Notamacropus eugenii: one gene and its partner. The protein of the gene in region 1 purifies or fractionates together with the protein of each later gene. This does not show direct contact. Links are inferred from orthologs where the notes say so. Each region holds a gene or a part of one and is shown in the gene's direction. Other genes may lie near its edges.

Evidence for each region.
Region 2: the proteins of PLCG1 (region 1) and RASA1 purify together in Homo sapiens (affinity purification with western blotting; 3 studies listed by BioGRID and IntAct, with this or other methods). This does not show direct contact. The link is inferred for Notamacropus eugenii from reciprocal best matches to the Homo sapiens genes PLCG1 and RASA1.

What each region holds. Positions count from the first base shown.
Region 1 is NC_092872.1:423,909,861-423,917,951, reverse strand, and holds the start of PLCG1 (1-phosphatidylinositol 4,5-bisphosphate phosphodiesterase gamma-1), read left to right. Parts: upstream 1-4,589; 5' UTR 4,590-4,702; intron 4,703-4,780; exon of another isoform or gene 4,781-5,309; intron 5,310-5,633; 5' UTR 5,634-5,753; exon of another isoform or gene 5,754-5,756; intron 5,757-5,976; 5' UTR 5,977-6,121; coding exon 6,122-6,341; intron 6,342-8,091. UniProt on the Homo sapiens protein: Mediates the production of the second messenger molecules diacylglycerol (DAG) and inositol 1,4,5-trisphosphate (IP3). Plays an important role in the regulation of intracellular signaling cascades.
Region 2 is NC_092875.1:454,108,646-454,116,792, reverse strand, and holds the start of RASA1 (ras GTPase-activating protein 1), read left to right. Parts: upstream 1-4,876; 5' UTR 4,877-5,373; coding exon 5,374-5,843; intron 5,844-8,147. UniProt on the Homo sapiens protein: Inhibitory regulator of the Ras-cyclic AMP pathway. Stimulates the GTPase of normal but not oncogenic Ras p21; this stimulation may be further increased in the presence of NCK1.

The sequences.
Region 1 (8,091 bases):
ACTTCTGACCCCTCTGGGGTTCCCGTCCTTATAGCCTACAACCTGATCCAGCTAGCTGAAAATGTTTCTCTTCCTTCTCAATTTTTTCTGGATAACTTTGTCTGGAACTCTCTTTGGCTTCCATCACATCCTAGCTTGTAAATATATTATACTCACCTTTTTCATGTTGTGTATCTTTCTGGAGAATTCAGGTTTTTGGAAGGATGGAGAGTTTCCTTCTTGTCTTTGTAACTTCCATGCCTAACAGCGCCTTTATTGAAAGGTTATCAAACTGAAGTGAATTGAATGTGATTGAAAGTCTCTGCTCTGGACAACCTTTCCAGGTTTGTTGTATATTACTCAACCAATCCGCAAGCATTTATTAAACACTTACTAAATGTCTGGATCTGCTTGAGGCACCAGGAATATGAGGACAAAACCAAAATGGCCTCTGCCCTTAAGGACTAAGTTCTATTGCGGAAAGCATTCTGTGTGTACGTACAAATGCAAAATATATGCCAAGTAAATGAAAATAGAGGGAGGCACTAACAGCTGGGGTTGGACCAGGGATCAATAAGTGATAGCAGGTGGCTTAACCTGAGCTTTGAAGGAAGCTAAGGATTTTGGAAGACAAGAGTGGCCCATTACAATCATGGGTAACGATAACCTGTATTTTTATTTATTTATTTATTTTTGGTGTGAACGCAATTGAGGTTAAGTGACTTGCTCAGAGTTACACATCTAGTAATCGAGGCCTGAGTTGAACTCAGGTCCTCCTGACTTCACAGCCAGTGCTCTATCCACTTTGCCAAAAGTCACAGAAAGGATGTGGAATCTCATGTGTGAGCAAAGAAAAAAGGATCAGTTTGGGCTGACCAAAAAGTATGGGAAAGGGAATAATGTATGTCTGTAAAGGTAGGTTCCAGCCAGGTTCGTGTGCCAGAGAAGTTTGGACTTTAGCCTAGATGCAATAAAGAGTTACTGGAGCTTTTGGAGCAGGGGAGTGACTAGTCAGACCGGTACTTTAGGAACATCACTTGGGCTGTTGTATGGGTGGATGGAAGAGAAGGGAGCAGTTTAGGGAGGGAATAAGCAGTCACTAAGTATGTTCCACTGAGCTAAGTGCTTTGCAAGTATTATTTCATCTGGCCCTGTGAACCTGGACTGGAACTGGCCTCTAACCTGAGAATGGCCAGAGCCAGACAGAGCAAGCCAGAGGAAGGTGTCAGGGACTAAACAGAAGTTTAATTAATGTTAGAGTGAGGAAAACACTTGTAATCAGAAATCCCAAAGCAACAGGATTAGGCTTTTTTTTCTCTAAGAACTATATACAGATGCATATGATTGTCTTCCAAATTTATTTATCATGGAAAATCAGGCTTTGAGTATGTTTTGGTGATAAGTTCTCAAAATTGGATTATGACTTTATTAATTAAGGATTAATTGGATTTTATACATAAATTATATTGATAATGGTAAAGAAATGAAATTATTTCCCCATTTTTAAAAGTATCTGCCTTATAATTTAAAAGGCAGAAGAGTTCATTTTATAGTTGGACCCTTATCAATTTTATATATATATATATATAAAAACTGAAATTCTCTGAAAGACCAGAGTTATCTAAGAACCTCTAGATTTGGACTATGTAACAGAGAATATACACACATGTACGCATACATACACACATGCATGCATGCATACATACATACATAAACAGAGACAGACATCTATATTGTGGTCCTCACAGTGAGGAGCAGGGCTTGGATCATGATTCAGTAAAGTATATGGAAAAGGAGTAATCAGGACTGTCTACTTGGTGTTCCCCAGATCTCACATTCCACCTCAGTCTTTCTCCTTGAGCCCTCCTCAGTCTTAGACACTGTTATTGATCACTTTCTCCTCCTTGATACTTTCTTTTCTCTAGATTTTCAGCACTCCACTCTCTCCTGGTCTTCCTACTTCTCTGACTGATCATCTCTCTCCTTAGCTGGTTCCTCCTCCAGATCCCACCCTCTGACCATAGGTGGCCCTCAGGGTTCTGTCCTGGGCTCTTTTCTATATTTCTTCACTTGATATCATCAGCTCCCAAGGTTTGAATTACCATCTCTATTCTGATGACTCTCACAATCTACCTATCTTGCCTCACTCAGTCTTTGCTGATCTCCAATATTGCATCTCCAACCGTCTTTCAGACATCTCAGACTGGATATCCCATAGATGTCTTAAACTTGACATGTCCAAAACAGAATTTATTATCTCTCCCCCTCTTCCCCTTCCAGGATAACATTATCCTCCCAGTCCTTCTGAATTGCAGCTTAGGAGTCATCCTGGTTTTCTTCACTATCTCTTACCCATTCCCCTCCCTATATCTAAGTGGTTGCCAAGTCCTATTGATTTCACCTTTGCAATATCTCTTAATTAAGTCCCTTTCTCTCCTCTGACTGCTGCCACTCTAGTGCAGACCTTTGTCACGCCACACCTGGACTATTGCAATAGCCTGCTAGTGGGTTTGCCTGTCTTGGGTGAGTGTCTCTTCACTCCATTCCATCCTCCATTCAGCCACTAAAGTGATTTTCCTAAAGCACGGGTCCAGTCCTGTCACACACAAACCCCTAGCTCTCTGCCTCAGAGCCCTCCACCCCTCCCCCGCCAATAAATTCCAATGGCTCCCTATTGCCTCAAGGAGTAAATACAAAACGAGCCATTTAGCATTCAAATCGCTTCCTAACCTAGCTCCCTCCTGCCTTTCCAGTCGTTTTACACCTTACTTCTCTACCCTCTTGGATCCAGGTACACTGGCCTCCTTTCCATGAACAAGATCCTCCATCTCTCAGTTACAGCCATTTTCTCTGAAAGTACTCCATACTTTCCCTCTTCTGCTGACTACTGACCTCCCTGCCTTCCTTTAAATATCAACTAGAATCCCACTTTTACTGGAATCCTTCCCCAGTGGCTCCTAATTCCAGTGCCTTGCTTCTGTTAATTATTTCCTATTATCCTGTATATAGCTTTGTATATATTTGTTTGCATGATGTCTCCGCCATTAAATTGTAAGTTTCTTGGAGGAAGGAACTGTCTTTTGTCTCCTTTTGTATCCCCCAGCTCTTAGCACAGTACCTGGCACATAGTTGATGTTTAATAAATGTTTATTGATTGATTAATCGTCCCTCCAGGCCTTTGCCTAGACTATCCCTTAAGTCTGGAATGCATGACTTTATCCAGCCTCTTGGAAATCTCTAACTTCCTTCAGGGTTCAGTTAAAGTGCCATTTCTTACTTGAGGCCTCTTCTGATTCCCTTCCAGGTGCTAAAGCCCTTACCCTCAAATTACTTTCTACTGATTTTTGTCCAGCAGAAGACTTGTTCCTAGAAAGCAAGAGTTTTTGTCTTTGTTTTCCCAGGGGCCTAGCCCTGCAAGCCGGCAGCAGGTGAATAGTTGACCATAAACAAATAAATGTTTGTTAAATGAATTTAGGAATGTAGAAAATCTTCACCTCAGCCTAGGGGGTGAATTCTTCACTTGGAAGTGTTCTACACATTGACTTTTGGATGGAATTTCCATATTGACTGTGGGAGCGCCCTAGGCACAATGTAGTACTCTCCCATTGACCTGGAGTTGGATTAAACCAGGAAGCTAGGTGGTGAAGTGGATAGAGCGCTGGCCGTGGAGTCGGGAAGACTCACCTTCTGGAGTTCAGATCTGGGGTCAGTTACTAGCTAGCTGTGTGACCATGGTCTTCTTCAGCAACGAAGAACGAACATACAAACAGCTGTGTGACCAAGTCACTTCACCCTGTTCGCCTCAGTTTCCTCATTTGTAAAATGAGCTGGAAAAGAAATGGCAAACCATTCCAGTATCTCTGCCAAAATGAAAATAAAACAAAAATCAAGTGGGGTCACAAAGGATTGAACAACTGAAAAATGACTGAACAACAAAATGATTGAACCCCACCTTTGACATTTTTGGTCCAAATCTATGACCAGGAGAGACCACAGCGGTCTGGAGGATAGAGAGCTAGCTATGAGTCAAGTTCTGACAGATACATATTGCCAATTTGACCCTGAACCAGTGTCTTGGACAGGTTTCTTAACATGGGGTTGGACTCCATGGATAGATTTTAGGAGGACTGTGAACATGGATGGAAAAAAAAATATAATCTTTGATTTTAACTGACCCCTAAATAAAATTTCCTATAATTATGAATTTTTAAATAAAATATTTTGAGGAATTCATAAGCGTCACTAGACTGTCAAAGGAGTCCACGGCACACATCTAAAGATTAAGAAACTGAGAAGGCGCCTTCCCTATTTCACTGAAATCACAGATCCAGTCCCTGACGACCACCATAGTGGGGAAAATGCGAAGGCAGGCCTTGAGCCGGGTACCGGGCGGGAATTAATCAATCAATCCGCAAACCCCAAGGGGCGGGAGGAGAAGGTAGGCAAAACCTAATCTGGACAATCAGGGAGTGACCTCAGCCAGGGCCGCCTCCAACACTCAAAGGGAAAAGGGGGTGGTGGAGGTGGAGAGCTTGTCAATCAGTTACCCCCCTGGCCAATCAACAGGTGGCCCCGCCTTCCCAAGCCCCTTTTCCGTCCTTTACTCCACCCTCTTACCCCCCTAAGAAAAAGAGAGAGAGGGTCGTATCTGTGCTCTGCGACCAGCTACTCGACACGGTTCTCCTCCCTTTCCATTTTGCAGAGCTGAATTAAACGCGCTCAGGTGAGCGAGGGAGGGGGCGTTGTCTAGGGGAATTCCCCCTCCCTCCCGGAGTTAAGCCTGGTGTCCCTTTAAGGGGCTGGGTTCCCCCCACCCCCCCACCCCGGCCGCTTTGTCTTTCTGAGCGCCGGGAAGGGGGAGCGTCTTCGTTCCTATTCGCCCGCCCGGCCCCTCTCCCCGCTCCCCTCTCCCTTTGCAGCTAGAGCAACGAACACCACCGGATGTGGGGCGGGGGAGGCCGGGGGCAGCGGGGGCCCGAGAGCCCGGGGGCACTTAGTAGACCCTGCCGGGCTCCTGCCCCAGAGACCGAGAGAGAGAGAGAGAGAGAGAGAGAGAGAGAGAGAGAGAGAGACAGAGAGAGGGGGAGGGGGGGGAGAGAGAGAAAGAGAGAGGAGACAGGGAAAGACTGGCAGACAGGGAGAGGCCGGGAAGCAAGGGAGGCAGATTGGGAACCGCCCTGCAGCTCGGCTCCGTTCTCCCCCACTTCTTGAGCCAATGCACGTGTTGATTTAGGGGCAAAAGACCCTCACTCCCCATCAGCCCCTTCCTCCCCACCCCACTCAAGCAGAGGGAAGAGAGAGAGGGAAGACAGAGGGAAAGGCAGGCCCAGGTAGCAGCTGTGGCCGGGATGTGAAACTGACTCAGGCTGTAGGGTGGGTCTGGGTAGTTGTGCGACTGTTTGTGTAAGACTGTCCCAGGGACTTGTGTGCCACTGTTTGTGTGGTTCTGTTACACTCTGTGACTTCCATTATTTGTACGTGGCTGTTTCTGCGTGTGGGGGGTGAGGGGTGGGGGGTGTGTGTGGCTGTATTTTAGGGTGTACGAAGGACTATTGCAGGGTGTGCGACTGGGTTTGTGTTTCGGGGTGTGTGTGTGAGAGAGAGAGAGAGTGTGTGTGTGACAGAGTGTGAGACGCTGCTCTGCTCTTTTTCAGCCATTACTTCCTGAGTTTTCGGGACATCTTATCGGCCTCGAATCGATGCAGAGGCTTGCAAGATCAGAAGACTGACAAGTGGCTAGGGTGCCAGACTCGGACAGTGCGGGCTGTTGGAAGGTGGTCCGTAGGACTACCCTCGGGAGGCTGGGAGGGAAGGACGCCTCCTGGGTGGGGGGCGAACAGCCCCGCCTGCTGGGGGCGGGAAGGGGGGGGGGTCTTTGTTCGGGCCGGGGAGGCGGGGTCTGCGCGGGCGGGGCTCTGGGGGAGGGGGCATCAGTCTCCAGGCGCCTCCTTGGTTAACTCGGCCCCTTCCTCCTCCTCCTCCTCCCCGCCCCCGCAGGAGTCGCTGCCGCGGCGCGGATTGCTGGATTGTTGCTGGCAGACGCAGCGCTCGTCCAGACGCTGCCTCCTGAGCGCCCTCCGGGGCTCCCCGGCCTGCAGTTTGAGACAAACTCGGGTCTGGAGGAGAGCAGGAGATCCCCGGAATGATGGCAGGGGTGGGGGCCCCCTTCGCCAACGGCTGCGGGTCCTGCGCCCCGTCGGAGGCCGAGGCTCTGCACCTCTGCAGGAGTTTGGAAGTGGGCACCGTCATGACCTTGTTCTACTCCAAGAAATCCCAGCGACCAGAGAGGAAAACCTTCCAGGTCAAGCTGGAGACCCGGCAGATCACGTGGAGTCGTGGGGCAGATAAAATCGAAGGAGCGGGTAGGTGTTTGCGGCCCTGGCCCCTTTGCGTACCTTCTCTGGTTGGAGGAGAACTCGGATCGTTCCGTCCAGCTGTTTGTCCAGGGCTGGGGGTGGAGATATTCATGCAAACTTTGTGCGTTTCTGGCTCTCTCCCGCCGTCGTTTGCTGCTTCTCAGAATTTGGTTGCTTTGGGGAGGGGGCAGGGGCTAAGGGCCTTCACCCTTACCCAAGCGATTTTTATTCGTCTCGCAGGCAATGGATCAGGTACTGTCTGCTATGACGATTCATCCAGGGAAAACTGGGCCCAGGTGCTCTGAAAGACACCTTCCCACCCCCTTGACTATAGGCCCAGGGCATAGATGTGTGTGCTTCTCTCCTTCAGGATAACCAGAGTGTTTGGGGGGGGGGGGGGAGGAGCGGGGGAAATGAATCCCGGGGTTGGGGGATAAGGATTACCGCGGACGTTCCCCCCAGGCAAGAAGAGGGGTAGCTTTGTCTCCCGGCGGTTCTCAGCTGTGGGCCAGAAGAGGAAAGAAACAGCCACATTGTATCGCTTAGGTTGTTACATTGTTACTGTTAGAGTGGGGGGGGGGGGGCAGGGAGGCCGGCAGGCCAGCTTGTTGGCGCCTGCCTTCCCCACCTCCCTCCTCTTCCCGATCCCAAAGGGAAGGAAGCTGTGTTTGGGAAGGCCTGGGAGGGAGAAAAGAGAAGGCCTCCCCTAGCTCCCTCCTTCCTGCTGCACCTTTTGTCCTAACACTGAATGTCAGCCTAGCCTGGGTCAGGCCCACTGAGAGGGGCAGGGGGGAATTTCTGGGAGTTAGGCCCAGTTTATAAGGAAGGCTCCCTGGCTAGGAGAGTGGGGTACCTCCCTTAATTAGGGTGCATTCTGATCAATCCAGCCCTTCTAGTCTGGTAGACTCTAAGGAAGCATACTCCTTGTCAGTCCAAGGGGGTTGGCTTCGGTCTACACTCATGTAATTGGCTCCTTCATTGTAGGGTGGTAGTTGGAATGATATCCAGGACTTTTCTTAGAACTGTATCTCCCTCCTTCCAGATGGGAGCCAAGAAGTGATACTCAAAGGAGATGCCCAAAGAACTTCCAAGGGGAGGTTGTACCTGGTGGGAGAAAGAATCTCAGAATGGGCAGTTAATTAGGAAGGAGTGTCTGAAGTGAGTTGGGGATTCTGGGCCTAAAGAGGGAGAACTTTGGCTGTGGCAGACTACAGAAGGGCTGAGGCCTCTTTTTCCCTTGTGCTCGATCTGGGCTGAGGGTAGGGGGAGGCATAGATTATATCATGGTAGACAGAGTTGTGACTGTTGAGGTCCAAACACGAACCTTAGGAGGAATCTCTCCTAAGACAGAGAGTTAGAGAATTGAAGGGGTTGAGATGCTACTTCTCTACTCTAGGCATGTTAGGTGGTCAGTCAGACCCTCTAAATCAATGGGTACCCCCTTCTCAGGCCCTTGATCAAGGCCTTATTTCTATTGCTCTGAGGGATGCCCAGCACTAGACTGATGTGTTTGTGTGAGTCTGAAGCCTATGTTCTTCTGGCAGCAGGGTGACTGATGTTTGGGGGAGGAGAGAGGCACCGAACTTGGGGAGAGTTGGGATGGAGCCAGGAGCCTCAAGGTTTGAGATGGCGGCGAGAATGAAGGAGAAGGGATAGGCAGCATATATTTTAAGGATGTTGGATGCAGTCACTCAGAGTCTGAGGATAGCAGGGGGCATGTTGAGGAAGTATAGAGCTTCCTATTGCAGGGGAACAC
Region 2 (8,147 bases), on another chromosome or scaffold:
AAAGTGCTGCTATAAATATTTTTGTGTATATGTAACTTGTGATTAACCTCCTTCAGGTGTATGTCCAGTACTGAGATTCATGCCTCTCTACAATGCTTGGAAGTCAGTTAAATTGAATTAAATGAATTACTTTGCCATTTTCCTCTTATCTGTTTTTTTTTCCCTGTTACCTTCTAAATATATTCAAATTTGTGCCTCTAAAGAAAGTGAAATAAAGATTACAATGGAAAAAGGACCTCTAGGACATAAAAAGTGTAAGACTAGCCATAGTGTTAAACTTATTAATATAACTTCTGAAAACCTAGAATTGTGTCTGTATAAGACTACACACTAGAGCTAGGATTGTGTTCTTCAGACACTGATGCAAATCTCTTACAACTGGCTCTTCTTCTCCTTCATGTTCATCATATAATACTCTAAACCCTACCCATCTCCTTAAGAATGATTTAGTGGAAAGAACACTCACTGGATTTGGAGTCTGAGAACTGGCTACAAATACTTGTCAAATACAGTCAAATACTGGCTACAGTACTTGCTACCTGTGTGTCTTCAAGAAAGTTACCTGATGATATGTGTCATGTATTATTAACTTTCTAGGAATGATATAAATTGTACTTATAGCATTGCCTATGAAATTACAACTTTAACTTGATACTCAATAGTATCAATACATGTTTTATTCCAGGATGAAATCAACCCATTTTTCAAGATGCCACTGAGCACTGAGAATAACTCATATTATAGACTCTTTTGTAGCTAATTCTTTTCATTGATATAATATTCGATTTTTTCCTTTTCATTAAACAACGTCTGGTGTATGTATATAATATGGCAAATTATTCACTTAAACATTTTAATCTCATTTTGCAATTTCTCTCCTACAATTTCCTCTGGATGGTTTGTTTTATTTCTTAGCACCTCCCTATGTAATATTGTCTCTGAATTTCATTAACAGATTGTTTTAACAGATGTTATAAAAGAACAGACTTAACACCCACTCTTACTATACCCCAGGACACCTCTCTCTAACTAGATACTGACACACAGTTGCATATTGTCACTTTGTTGACTTGCGGCTGGTTTTCTACTCTCCTGTCAGCATCACTTACATCTAAGCCAAGTGATTCAGAAGCTTCTGAGTAAAAAAAAAACAAAAAAACAGACAAAAGAAGAAAAAGGGGAAATTAACAACAAAAGCCAAGAAACAAAGGAAATAAACACAACTAAGGAAAATATTTTCACACACGTGAAAAATCATAGAAAAAACCCAAATATTCAGAACATGAAGCGTATTGGAAGAGAAGTAAAAGATGAAGAAAAACTATCTTATGACATTTCTTCTCATCCTTCGAAGAAGGAGCCTCACTTAAACATCAGCATACATTTAAAAATATCATGCAAAGGAAAAAAATGTATTTTGCAATGTTTTTCAGAACAAGAAATGCAGTTATCAGAAGCCTTTCTGTTGAAACAATCTATGTAGTAAAGCTTTCAAAAATATTTTTGAGGGGTTAAATATAAACTGTTCTGTTCAGTGTTTCTCATAAAGGAGACTGTGAAAAAAGACAGTTGTTAAGAGACAAATACATATTAGGAATTTAAATCTGGACTGGAAGTCACTACTAGAAAAAGTGTCAAAACACATAGCTCACAGCACTCCTGAGAGCAGCAGAACCAGATTAAAATGTAATTGGGAAATATTTTAAAAATAAACAAAATACAATAAAATATAGATTAATATTACATTTTAAACTGTCAACACATGGCCTGCAGGGATCTTTATGTACAAATGAGAGGTATGCACTTCTAGTTGAGTTTCACATTACTTCAGTAGTAGTGTGCTAGGCATTATGTAGAAGATAAAAAAAAAAAGACAACCTTTTCTACTTACAGTGTAGTAATGTATCTGAAAACATTTATAGAAAAATATAAAGCAGCAGTGTTAGATTCTGGTTCCTTGTTTATAAGTGCTAGAACTCCAAGGAGGAAAAAAATCTGACTCTACCCTATGAAGTTGGGGGAGGTGGGACATGTGTGTGCTGTGAGAAGTATTTCCTTATCCTTCAAAGTGTAATAGAGATGGGAACTCTCTGATCACTGTTCTCAATTCCTGTATCCCAAGGTGGTCCACAGCTACAAGTAGCAGCTCAGTACTTCCTAATATGCTCCTTTCTCTCCCTTACTGTGATACTACTGGGCGAAACTTTCCTTTTTTCAGATCTTTTTCTCCAGTCAATTCTGGCTGGTTTGAATGTCAAGATCCCTCAATGAATTCCTAAATAAATTTCAATAGCTCCACCCTTAATCCTCTCCACTCCTCTCCTTCTCTCTCCTTCCCCGCCCCACCCCCCCAACCCCAGTGGTACATGGTCAAGTTGCTCCAGATTTATTTTGTACAAAGTGTACTGTAGGCAAACTAATGAAATAAGTATCCATTCCTCCAGTGTCTCCAATCATCCCTTCCTGTGTCCTTCCCTCCTTTGGGTCCTTTCCCCATTTCTCCCCAGGGTATCAATATTCTTCTGACAGTTACTTCATTTAGAAAGGAAATTTACCTAAAAAACAAATTCATATTATGCTGTTAGGAATTTAATATTACCTTTCTCAAAGGTATTTTCATTAAAAAGGGGAGAAAGGAATGTAGAGGGTAAAGCTTAAACCACTTGAATGAATCAAATGCTGTTGTAATTTCAGATGGATGTATAAAGACTTTCTGGTAACGTTTAACAACTGGCTCAAAAAATTGGAGTGCTTTAAAAAGCACTTTTAAATTTAGTCTGCATAATTATCATTTTCTTCTACAAAATTAACAAAATAATGAATTATACTCAATGTGTAGCATTTGATGATTTTTGAAGTGTGACTGCTCACATTGAAAATTTAACAATTAGTTCTCAGAGCCTAGGAGATGGGTCAAGTATTCCTCCTCCTTACCAAAAGACAACTGCTTATTTTGCCCATGCACACACTCCTTCTTACCAATGAGTTACTCTTTTTAGCTTTTACTGCTAATGGAAAAATATCCTTTGCTATATAAAGAGACTAAAAGTTTCTTTCAAGAATTTATTGGAAAATTTGGAAGAAACGTTATGCAAAGAAACTTTAAGGATAAGTAATTTTCCCTCAACTAAGTAATGCCACAACCCTCCTGTACCTTTAGTGACTGTAGCAGAAAAATTCATTTGCCTACGCCAACTAGGTGATGAGCTTCCTCAAAATTGGCTAGGCTAGTCCTTGCACAGTACATACAGTCAAATAGGGTCCTTACTCTAAGCCTTTCCAGCGTGGTAAGACCTGCTAGAACTTGTGATATCTGGCATAGTGTTCAAGACCCTCTCCATGCCAGGATGAGGCATGGGAGAACTTTGGTGGTGGTATGCACAGATATCTTTCACTATTAGTTCCTCTGGCCTGTTTCAGCTTGCAGAGGTTGCCGATTTTCAGTCTTCTAATTGTCTGTCCTGGCACATTCAATAGAATGGTGCCTGCCTAGAACTCTTTGGGGCAGGGGTTAAGACAATCAGTTCTTTAGTTTAGTTTTAAGTATTTTGCTTCCTTCCCTGGATCAGACCACCGTGGTTACTTGTCTTAATTAACCTGATGAGAAAAGGCACAAAGAAACCGAGCACCCTAGACTAAGAAAGAAAAGCATTAAGTCAGTCAACCAGCCGATAAGCATTTATTAAGCTGATACAATGTGTCAGGTAGTGTGGATACAATGAAGCTAGGAAAAGATTAAGCGATTTTACTGCCCAAGGTCACAAAGGCAACGGGTGTTTTCTCTTGGGTGCTCTTTCCACCTTTTTAATGTTTTTTTGATCTTTTCAGATCCTATCCCAAGAGCACGGTTTCCGCCTCCTGACTTCCTTTAAGTTACAGCTAAAAACTTCTGTGGGCAGCTTTCCCCCATCCTCTTTAATTCAAGGCAGGCTTCCCCATTTGTACAGTTATTTGTACATGGTTCCCACCTTTCGACGGTGACTTCCTCGACAGCAGGAGCTGCCTTTCACTTTTCTGCATCACCAGCGCTTAGCTTACAGTGGGTGCCTAATAAATGTGTATTTACTGACGGACTTCTAAGCTCTTCCTTTTGGGCTTCTGGTTATTAAGAGTATTTAGGAGCCCGAGGGAAGGGTCTGGCAGCCCATTTAACAGCTCGCTCCGAGGGCCGCCAGGAGACCCCCTGGGTGTGGCTCACTTCACGCCCGCTGGGTAGTCTAGGAGCGCCCCATCCCCAAACCAGGAATCCCCTGGAGCGCATCCTCTCCGGTCCCCGCCCCCTCCAGCCAGCAGCCAGCAGCCAGCTCCGGGACCGGACCGGGCGGCTGGGCTGGCCGAGGAGCACAGGGGAAGTCTGGGAACAAAGCGACTCGTGGGCCGCGGGAGCATTTGAACAATGCCTCTGGAGGCGCGCGCGCCGCCGCCGCGAACCAGGCGGACAATTCAGTGGCCGCCCGCCACGCGCCCGGCTGGCAGGAGTGGGGGCCGAGCCGCGAACGCGCGCGCGCCCACCTCTTCCTTCCCTCTCCTCCCCCGCCCCTTCCTTTTCCTCCTCCATCAGCCCTACTCCCGGACTCTCCCCGCGCCCAAAGCTTTCCCAGGGCGCGCCTGCGCACAAGCGGCCCTCTGCTTTTCTTTTTTTTCTTCTCCCCCTCCTCCCCCCTTCCCTTTCTTTCCCCCTCCGGCCTCCCCTCCCCGTCACCCTTTCTCCTCTCTGTAGTTCCTCTCACTGCGAGCTCCAGGTCGGGAATCGCGACTCGGGCTGTGCTCCGCGCGGTCTCCCGCCCCCACCCCCTCCCTCCCTCCTCTCCTCCCCGGCCCTCCCTCCTCCTCCGGCCCCGTGGAGGATGAAGCCGCGGCGGCAGCGGCAGCAGCGCCAGCGGCGGCGGCGGCTGCTGCGGTGGGGGTGGCCGGGACTGGGGCGGTGAAGAGGCGGCCGCGGTGGCGGTGGTGGCGGCGGCGGCCCCGGCTCGCTTCCCCTTCTTCCCGTGCTCCTTAGTTAGTTACCGAGCCGGGAAGTTTTCTTTTGTGTGCGTGTGTGAGTGTGTGAGTGCGAGTGCGCGCGCGCCTTCGGACGGTCTGCGCGGGGGCGTGTGCGCGCCTCGGCCGGGCCGGGGTCGCGGGCGGGTGTTTTTTCCCCTCCTCTCTTTCCGTAGCCGGTCAGGGCCGTTCCGGGGCGCCCGGGCTGCAGCCCCAGGGGCTCCTCGGGCCGGAGGGCGGGCGGGCTCCGGCCTTTTGTTGTTGTTTCCTCCGCGGCCCGGGGAGCTGAGGGGGGGGCCCGCCGGGGAGGGGCGGCCAGGACCCGGGGCCCTGTGGCCCCCGGGGCTCCCGGACGGGCAGGGCCAGGCAGGGCAGGGCCGAGCGGGCTCCAACATGATGGCGGCCGAGGCGGCCGGGAGTGAGGAGGGCGGTCCGGCGACCGCAGGGGCGGGAGGCGGCGGAGGCGGCCCGGCCTCGGCCGCCGACCCCGGCCCTTGCGCCACGGTGTGTCGGGTCAGGACCCCTGCGGCCCTGCCCTGTCCGGTGCCCTCCTGCCCGGGCCCGGCGCCCGGGCTGGGGGGCCCCGCTTTGTGCTCGGCTCTGGGAGCCGGGCCTGGGGCGGGAGGGGTCCCCGCCGCCGCGGCCGGCCCCCAGGGGGACGCCGCCCCCTCCAAGGGTGCCCCCGTGCCCGCCGACGCCCCCGGCCCGGGGGGCTTCCCGCCTCTGCCGCCGCCGCCGCCGCAGCAGCTGCCCGCCCTCCTAGGCGGGGGCCCGGGGACCGTGGACGAAGGCGACTCCCTGGACGGACCCGAGTACGAGGAGGAGGAGGTGGCCATCCCTCTGAACGCGCCCCCGACCAACCAGTGAGTCCGGAGCCGGGCGGGTGGGGGAGGCCGGGGTCGTCCTTCCTGAGGGGTCGCCCCCCCGGACTGGTCTGGAAACCGACCGTTTGGGGGGGACCCTGCGGGCGTGCTCCCCGCGCCTGGTGCCTTTAGGATGAGCCCTTGGGGAAGGCGCAGAGTTTGGGGAGATGCCCGCAGGGCAGCACGGCCCCCGGGTGGGAAGCGGGTCAGTGGGGCTGCTGGACCAACTGCCTGGGTGAAAGGGTGCCAACCCAAACTTGTGGGCGAGCGAGGCGGGGAAGGGCTTTGCAGTTTTGGGAGAAGAGGAATAATTTCAGGAAGCAGTGCCTCCCATTCGTGGTAGGGGATTCAGAGTTTTGAGTTATTACAGCTTTTTTTCCTTCCCAAATACTGTTCTTTTACTGAGACACCCATTCAGTACAGTACTTGTTGAATTGGGAAGAAAGGGAGAAAAGTTTATGCTTCCTTTCGTCGTATTGATAGCTTGCAATATTCCAGTAATCACCTGAAAATTAAATTCGCAATCCCAGGAGAATCTGTTTTTATGGGTGGTACTGCTACTGTATGGAGTGAGCAGTATTAATTTAATTGCTTCATCAAATGATACTGTTTGGATCCTGAGTTTAAAGAGATGTGGGACTTGGGGTTAGAGAAGAAAACTTCAGAAGGAGTGTAACCCTGGCATTCTAAACATTTTTATGACACTTCTCTGTTAGTTTAAATGGAGGCTTTGAATCATACTAGGCTTAATGTGTGACAGAACCAGAAAGATTTAAGTTAAAAATCTGTGCAGGGAAATAATTGGAACACATGACTTACGATATTTTGATTTTAAGCTACTTTAGAAGAGTTTAAGTGGATTATTCTTAAAATTAATTAGGAAAATATGCTGTAATGCTCAACACAGTAAAGCAGGATTCTTTTGATCTTTTTTTGTCAGTGCCCATTCTGATTTTTAGAGCAGAAATATAGAATTAAATTCTATTTATAAAGCCAGGACAAAAAGTTGTATTTCTGATGACCCAGTCCAGAGTGCAGTATTAAGATCAAATTTTATGATTTTAGGATAGCAGGTATGTGTTCCAAATTTGAGTGGTAGGAATAATAACCCTAATTTCAACCTTCTTTTACAATTAAAAACTTTTTCCTGTCCGAATATAATGTTTACCATTTTTTATCAAAAATAAGAAGTGTTTTTTGTACTGTATGACTAGTCTGCTGGATCACCATAGATTTAAGTTGTCAGTTTCATATCTTTAGTAGTCTTAACAGCCCAAACATACTAAGAGATGAAAATTAACAGTAGAAAACTGAGTTTGCAAAGGACTATTTTTTTGTCATGAATATGTATAATTTGAAAAGGCAATAGTTAAATGATGCTGAGTCTCTGGAAGAAAATTTACACTCTTTTGAACATCATCTATTCCCTCAGAGATTTTTGCAGTCCTCACTGAGTGTTGTAAAAATAGGTTATTTGGGGGCTGTTTTTGAAAATATTATGAAAGTTGTATTAATTTTCTTAACTATGTGTCAGATTGTAGCGACATTAAGCATTGTTTTTAAGATAGGCTAATAATTTTGTAGAATGATAGGAACTTGCTAAAAATTCACATGGTAAATAGTTTCAAGAAATGAGCTCACTTCTTGTGAGAATTTTAATAACACTAACGTTTGGCAAAATTTTTACTTTAAAAACAAAAATGTGAACTTGTAATAATAGCCTGCACTTATACAGCATTTTAAGATTTACAAAATGCTTTCTTTACAGTTGAGGTAGGTGCTCAGATATTTATTGGTCAGATGTTATTTTGTTTGTGTAAGTCTTACTATTTCTGAAATAAGCCATGTTTTAATATAGTCTGTAGTTGATTTAGTAAAATAGAATAATGAGCTGGAATCTTAGCTTATTATGCTATTGTCGTTCATGCCTCTGACCTGGTCAGGGTGTGGGACCTCCTTTGAGATAAAAAGATATTTTTGTAGCTGTACCCCATTGGAAGGGAAAACCAAGCAGCTCTTATGTAAAATATTGCTGTCTACATTAATATTTAGACTTCTCACCGGATTTAACTTTTTTGTGCTTAAAACCACAAATGACAACTTGTTAAAATCTGGTTCAGACTTTTATTGTCTGTGTAACCTTGGGCAGGTTATTTATCCTTTGTCTACCTCATTTATAGGTGAGTTTTATCATCTGTAAAATGGGCATAATAATAGCACCTACCTTTCAGGATTGCTGTTGTGTGTATCAAAAGAGAAATTTGTAGAGTGCTTTGCAATTCTTAGGACACTATATACATGCTA